2 linked regions of the Ovis aries genome follow. The protein of the gene in region 2 purifies or fractionates together with the protein of the main gene of each other region. This does not show direct contact. Links are inferred from orthologs where the notes say so. Each region holds a gene or a part of one and is shown on either strand. Other genes may lie near its edges. The genes, in order: CUL4A and DCAF10.

Region 1 (3,814 bases), on a different chromosome or scaffold from region 2:
GGGTACATGTCTACACACATCTGGGCAGGACCAGAAGCTCATGACAGGATGACTCAGACAAAGCTCCCTGCTCCAAAGACAACGCCAACACTGTGCGCGAGCCAGTGTCTCCCGAGTAGGCAGTTGTGGGGCCCCTCAGCCTGCAGAGCATCCTGTGAGGAGACTGCACCCCACACTGCGCTCTCATCACTGGGGGACACCACACTCACCCTGGTGCACGCTGTCCCCCTGCAAGAAGGGGAGGCCCAGCCCTCAGGGTGCAGTGCTCTGCCCCGACAGCTGCAGGCCTCGCCCTGCAGCCTCTGCAGAACGTCCGGGTCTCCTGGGCAGGGGGCCCCAGCCCCTCCCACTCGCCCTGGGCCTGTGGAACCTGGGGGAACACACGCCCCGCCGGCCCGTCCAGCGCCCATCCACCTGAGCCTGACACCACAGTCACAGAGAACCTCCCGGACGCCCGCCGGGAGCCCTCAGACACTGGCACTGGGGACACTCCCAAGGCAGAGCACCTGGGCCGGGGCCTCGGCGGGCAGAGGGGAGGGCGCTGCTCTCTCTCCGCACGCAGAGGGAGGTCCCTGCGGCTAGTGGCCAGCGGCAGTGCAGGACAGACGGCCGACTCCAGAGGGCCAAGGGTGTGCAACCGCAGCGACTGGACAAGCTGACGCCCGCCTACCTTGACTGGGAACTTGAGCTGGTTGTACAGCTCAGAGACGAGCAGGTTGTGGCCTAGCGTCTTCCTCATCTTCATGACCCTGACGATGGCAGCGTCGATCTGGTACTGCCGGTCCTGGAACACGCGCTCCGTGGTGCTGACCTGCTCCTCCACCTGCGGGAGAGGGCCCGCCGCCGGTCAGCGCCGGCGCCGCCTCTGTGGGGGCTGCTGAGCTCCGGGCGGAAGGCAGGCCAGACTGCAGGGGCCCCTGTTCTGTTCTGCGGCTTTGTCCAGTGAAACCACTGAACTTCAGCAACAACATCAGTGAATTTACAGGAATCGTGACACCAATTAAAATGCTTTGGGTGCTGGCTTTGAAACAGAACTTAAAAACAGGAACGAGACACTGCCCGGGAACACGTGACCCGGATTTCTAACAAAAGTGACAGCTTAGTGGGTTGTGAGAGAGCCCACTCACATTTTAAAACAGGGAGGGTGGCTGGAGTGCTTTCTTGATGCTAAGATAACTTCTAGCTGCTCAGAGAAATGTTTCAGGGGAAAGCTGGAACATACAGACTACTGGAGCAGCAGCAGAAAATGCTCTTTAAACTGTGGGTCAGAGGAAGGTCTTCCTTAAGCTGACCCTCAGGTCAGAAACTGCAGAGGAACAGAACCTACTCACGTGGGAAGGACCCTCTCGGAGCGACAGAGCCGCCCGCCACCAGGCCCCGCGACGTGACAGGGCACTCCCTACGAGTCAGGGGTGGGATGTTGCAACGTGCCAGGGACTCGAGACCGAGCAGCTACTTAAAAGGACGAGAAAGCGCCAGCAGTGACCCACGGAAGAGCAGGGGCAGGACCGGGGAAGCGCTGAGTCTGGCGCGCGCTCATGTCAGCAAAGCTCATGTCCTCTGACCCGGCGAGTCCAGGGTGAGGAGCTGAGACTCGAGACAGCCAAGCCAGGAGCCGAGAGCGTGAGTGCAGCTGGGCAGGGCACCGCAGCCGAAGAGGCCAGGCCTGAGGCACCGCCAGGCTCTGTGCAGGGGCTCCACGCTCTTGGGTTCAAGTCACACAACGTGCTACTCTGCACATGTAAAATCCAAGTCCTGACCTGGGAAGAGGCCCAGCTTAAAAACTGTGTGTGTAAACGCCACAGGGCACGATCCCAAGAAGAAAAGTTTACGCGTGTGCAGCGGAGGAAAAAGCTGCCAACTCCAGGAGAGCCCAGCTGTGGAGCACGGAGGTGACAGGCAGGCCGCCGAGGAAGGATGGCCCGAGCACCCACCACCCCCTCGGCCTTCCGCGTAGCTCAGTCGTGAGGAAGCTGGAGCAAGGCTGAGGGCACCCCGTGACAGGCGTCTCAAGTCACCCACAGAATCTCCACACCAGCCCAAACAGCGCCCAAAAATAAGACACGAAGAACGCTTCGCTCCATGTGCTCTGAACGTCCTCCTCACTGGGCAGCACGGAGCACCCGGGGGGCAGCACCCCTGGCCGCCTGCAGCTGTGGGAGCAGCTGTGAGGCCCGTGCAGTCAGAGCTGGCACTCCCTCTGGACGGAGCGGCTTCCTGACGAGGCCACAGTGCCCGTCTGCTGGACTACAGCCCTGAGGGGCAAGGGCGCCTGCGGCAGGGTGCTTGAGGACAGTGGCCTGGAGCCGTCCTGGACCCGTGGCCCTAGGGAGCCTGATCAAAGGCACAGACACTCAGCCTGAACATGGAGCCCAGCAGCGAGGCTGAGACAATGGCGGGGGGTGGGCACAGCTGTTAGGACAGGTCACCAGGTTTGGAATGAGGTGCTCCCTACGTGGACAGAAGGTGGGCTACAAAGACCTCAATAGGACATGTTTGTGTACACAGGAAGTTAACTGTTAGACGCGTGCCCTTCTGAATTTCACTCTCGAGTATAAAAGTAGTAACAGCTCCGCTAAAGCATCTCACAGACACAAATGTGTAATGAGCGTCGAGAAGTTCCTATAGACCTACGGTCCCGTGAGCGGGGAAAGCGGAGGAAGCGGATACATACTGTTTCCTTCATCTGAATCTGGTTGATCTTGATGCGAAAGAGCTTGTGCTTGAACTCTGCATTGAACAGGAACTTGTCTCCGTCCTCCACTTCCTTCCCTTTGGGGCTCTTGAGGAGGACGCGTGCTTTGCCGCAGGCCAGGGACTGCAGCGTCCTCCGCAGCTCACTGTCCTCGATGCCCGTGGCCAGCCTGATGTCCTCGAAGCTGAAGCCGTCCCCTTCGTTGAACATGAGCAGCACCAGCGTCTGGAACAGGGACACCTGGAACTCCTTCTTCCCCTGAAAGAGCAGGAGCCACACAAGTGGGTCTGCCAGCCCGCGGACACCGGGCGAGCCTGTGTGCGGGTGTGCCGAGACGGTGCTGACTAGTCAGCAGAGGGGAGGTGGAGACGGTACTGACTAGTCAGCAGGAGAGGAGACACCCTGAGGGGCCTGTGTGCGGGTGTGCTGAGACACTCCTAACTAGACATCAGGTGAGAATACATCATTAATTTTATTGATTAAAACATTAGCCCTTCGACCACTGCATTTTACTGACTTCGAAAAGCCCGTGTTGAGTTATATTGAATAATCCCTTCCTTTCTTTCTTAGCTACCAAAGTCTAACGGCAACTTAAAAACATTCTTTTCATAAACGTGCTTCAAAAACGAGCAAAGCGGCAGGCGCAGGACTTGCCTCCTTGAACTCGGCCTTCAGCACCGCGTGGCCCAGCGTCGTCTGCCACTGCAGCTTCCGGCCGCTGTGCTTGCCCAGATAGAACGTCTTGAACACCTCCTGCAGCTTGATCATCTGTCAGCGGAGGAGGGCGAGCGTGACTGTGCTGCGCACGCTCACTCTGACACTGCCAGCGGCTCAGCGTCCGAGTTCCTAAGCCACCGCTGGGCCGAATGCGGCCTGCTCCGTGTCCTGACGGCGGCCCACCAGCGCGCAGCCCCGTGCTGCCACCATTCCAACAGCTCCTGCCAGGGGCGGTGGGGCCTGCCCCCGCTCCCGAGCCCCGCAGGCTTCCTCGGCCCCCTGCAGCCTCTGAGCCCAGGAGCGCCGGTGGTCCGCCTGGTCAGAGCCCGTGCTCTTGCCCGGCTGCGCAAGCTGGGACGACCCTCGCTGCCCCCGCTCCCGAGCCCCGCAGGCTTCCTCGGC
Region 2 (3,814 bases):
TCAGTGATACTGGCCTGTAATTACTATGTGCATAGAATGAGTTTGAGAGTGTTCCTTCCTCTGCAATTTTTTAGAACAGTTTGAGAAGGATAGATTTTAACTCTTCCCTAAATGTTTGGTAGAATTCATCTGTGAAGCCATTTGGTCCTGGACTTCTGTTTGTGGGGAGTTTTTATTTTTATTTTTAAATTTTAAAATATTTATTAATTTATTTACTTGGCTGTGCCATGTGGCTTTCAGGATCTTAGTTCCCCATCCAGGGATGGAACCTGGCCCTCAGCAGTGAAAGCAGAGTTCTAACTACTGGGTCATTAGGGAATTCCCTGTGCGGACTTTTAAAATTACTGAGTGAATTTATTACTGATAATTGATCTGTTCGTATTTTGTTTCTTCCTGGTTTAATCTTGGTTCAAGACAGTACCTTTTTAAGAATTTTTCCATTTCTTCTTCGTTGTCCTAGAAGCAAGATTATTTGGGGAATGCCTTTGAGTTAATTGGGCTTTCCTGGTGGCTCAATTGGTAAAGAATCTGTCTGCAATGCAGGACCCAGGTTTGATCCCTGGGTCGGGAAGATCCCCTGGAGAAGGGAGTGACAACCCTCTCCAGTATTCTTGCCTGGAGAATTTCATGGACTGAGGATCCTGTGGGCTGTAGTCCATGAGGTCACAAAGAATAGGACACAACTGAGTGACTAAACACTTTCACTTTCACTTTGAATTGATTAAAAATTTTGTATATGTAAATATATTTTAAAGAGAAATGTACACTAAATAGAAATTGATGTTATTTGTAGCAAAGTAAATATTTGTCATAATTTTGAATGCTTTATGCTTAATGTGTTTCACCTGCAGTTAAGTATTCAAAATCTCCTTTGTCTCCTATTGTCTGTTACCATTTGTGTTTCCTATACAGATTCTAAAATTCGTTTTCTCTGGCATTGTTCTCTAAACACCTACCTCTATTTCTGGTTTTCAATAAAATAATTTAACACAAGTAGATAAAATTACAACATGGTCCTCATTAACTCCTAGTATCCTCTGGTTATGTAAAGTATACTTACTACTATTATATATTAGAATCACTGGGTTTGTACAGTAAGTTTGTAGTCCTTTTTTGGTTTGTTTTCTTGATTAGGTAACATAGCAGTTTTTTTTAATAAGAGATTAAATAAACCAGTTTTTCTTTTCTGCTTTGTAGATTTCTTGATAACCGGCTGTTTGCCACCTGTTCTGATGACACTACAATAGCCTTTTGGGATCTGAGAAAACTGAACACGAAAGTATGCACTTTACATGGTCACACTAGCTGGGTGAAGAACATCGAGTATGATACTAATACAAGACTCTTAGTAACATCAGGATTTGATGGAAATGTCATTATTTGGGACACCAACAGGTTTGTGAACAGGAGACTATGTTAGGATTATGAACAACAAAAAAATGTTTTTAAAATGGTAAAAAAAAAAAAACCTCGGTGTTCTGTCTTAGCTCTCATGTTTCTTTAGAAGAAAGAAACTGGCTTTGGGAAAAACAATCAGAAAGTGATTCTGTCTTTAGTTCCTTGCACTTAGTCATATATCGTGACTAAAACACTTGGAGAAAATTATGTAGAAAAAAGACCAAATACTTGGTACTTGAGACCAAGTACCAGATACTTAACCAAGACCAAGTTAATGATGAAAACTGGTTTATAAGATGAGTTTCCTGAATTTAAGGAAAAATTATTTTGTTTTTTCCTTGTGGAACTGAAATGTTTTCCTTTGATCCTTCAAATCTATTTTGTAAATTTTGAAGCTTGTTTTCATGCATTAAAAGAGTAGTTTCTCAGAGTGGTACTGATGTTAGGGGAATGTTTAGAAATAATGTGTAGTGCAGTTTTAGTTGTCACTACAGGAGAAGAGAAGAGGATTTCTACTCACATTTAGTCAGTAGAGATCAGAGTTTGTAAACATCCTGCAGTGCATGGGATAGTTTGCACAGTGGACCAGTCATCCCATCTAAACTGTCACTAATATCTGTGTTGTGAAACACTTCAATAGAATATCTCCTGATAGAGAACTGAAAGAGTTGAATTTTGGGAAATAATTATAAGTTTCTGAAATATTCCTTAGAGCTCATATGTAAAACTAGGGGAATATTCTTAAAGATTTCTAGTTATGCATAGTGTTTGAGCCAAGCATAGAGCTACTGATTATCTTTAAGACAGCCTCTTGTTTAAACTTAGAACTAATTATTTTTTTAATTTAGAAGATTTTAATGTTATTAATAACCTTGACTTAGTTGGCAGATGTAGAATTCTGCTGCCAAATAGTGAGTACACCCTCTGAAGCAGAGTTTGAACATGTACAAAAATTGAGTGTGTTCTGGACTACAAAGTAAGTCTCAACCAGTATCAAAGAATTGTTATCGTACAAATCTTTTCTCTGATCTCAGTATAGTTTAATTAACTACAGGTAAATTAAAATTCCAAGGTTTGGAGACTTATAAACTTACATCCTAAATAATTGATGGATCAAAGAAAAAAATCATAGTGAAGTCAAAAGATAGACTAAAAATTAATGAACTAAGCATCTTACTCAAAAAACTTGAAAAAGATAAAAAAGTAAATCTGATGAAAGTAGATATATAGAAATGATTAAGATAAAAGCAGAAATTAATGAAATAGAAAATGAAAGTACAATAAAGATTTTTTTTAAAAGCTTGTTCTTCTCTGGTAAGATACATTAAGGAAAAAAGAGAGATGACACAATCCTAACAATAAGAGACAATAAAAAATACAATATAAAGTAAAATAATAAGGTCACATTTATGCCAATATACTTGAAAACTTTGATGAAACTGACAGATTACCCCAAAAAATACACCTTTGCAAAAGTGATCAAGGAAGAAATAGAAAACCGTAAATAGACATTACCAGGATATTTAACCATTATGCACTGGTTTAGCTGAAAAGGTTGTTAAAAGATTGAATTTCTTCCAAATAACTAATAGATAGTTACTGTCATGAATCATCCTCAGGTGTCATATCCTAGCACCTCTGGGTACCCACGAACCTCTCTGGAGATACCTTCCTCAAGGTCTCTCTTTATGATCTAGTAGCCGAAGTCGCTCTTACATAGGAAACTAACTGCAGGATCCAGTTCCAGCACTGAAACTCTGGAACTCAGGATCCAATTCCAGCATCAACTCTGGCTAGTTTTCATGCAGGGTTGGTTATTTAAATATTCTAAACATCACCTCTGCTTTAACCGTTAGAGAAATGAAAAAAAAAGTCAATTAAGACATAGCTACTAATTAAACAGCAGCATGTCAGTTTTACAGGTGTCTTCTACCAAATATTACAAGAAACAGAACATTCCAATTTTATTAAACTGTCCAGATTGCAGAAAAATGGAATTCTCCTTACCTTAGGTATGAAGCTGGTATGACCTTGATGCTTGAATTCAAAATGAAAGTTCAGTCTGTAATATGAATGTAGATGTGAATATTCCAAAAAAAAAAAAGAGAGATCCTGTAAGAAATTAATCAAAATAATCATGACCACTTTGGGTTTATTCTAGAAATGAAAAGATGATTTATCAGTAGAAATTCTGTTAGTATAATTTATCCCATTAACAGATTAAATAGATAAATCCTTATTCATCCTTTATGAATGATAAAATTCATCATTCATAATTAAAAGGGACATCATTACCAACCTTACAGAAATTAAAAGGATTAAAAAGGAATACATGCTTAGTCACTCAGTTGTAGCCTACTCTTTGTGACCCTTTGGATTGTAGCCCACCAGGCTCTTCTGTCCATGGGATTTTCCC

The links.
Region 1: the proteins of DCAF10 (region 2) and CUL4A purify together in Homo sapiens (affinity purification with mass spectrometry; 4 studies listed by BioGRID and IntAct, with this or other methods). This does not show direct contact. The link is inferred for Ovis aries from reciprocal best matches to the Homo sapiens genes DCAF10 and CUL4A.

Annotation. Positions count from the first base shown.
Region 1 is NC_056063.1:85,904,075-85,907,888, reverse strand, and holds part of CUL4A (cullin-4A), read right to left. Parts: intron 3,464-3,814; coding exon 3,350-3,463; intron 2,954-3,349; coding exon 2,675-2,953; intron 824-2,674; coding exon 671-823; intron 1-670. UniProt on the Homo sapiens protein: Core component of multiple cullin-RING-based E3 ubiquitin-protein ligase complexes which mediate the ubiquitination of target proteins. As a scaffold protein may contribute to catalysis through positioning of the substrate and the ubiquitin-conjugating enzyme.
Region 2 is NC_056055.1:50,919,675-50,923,488, reverse strand, and holds part of DCAF10 (DDB1- and CUL4-associated factor 10), read left to right. Parts: intron 1-1,197; coding exon 1,198-1,395; intron 1,396-3,814. UniProt on the Homo sapiens protein: May function as a substrate receptor for CUL4-DDB1 E3 ubiquitin-protein ligase complex.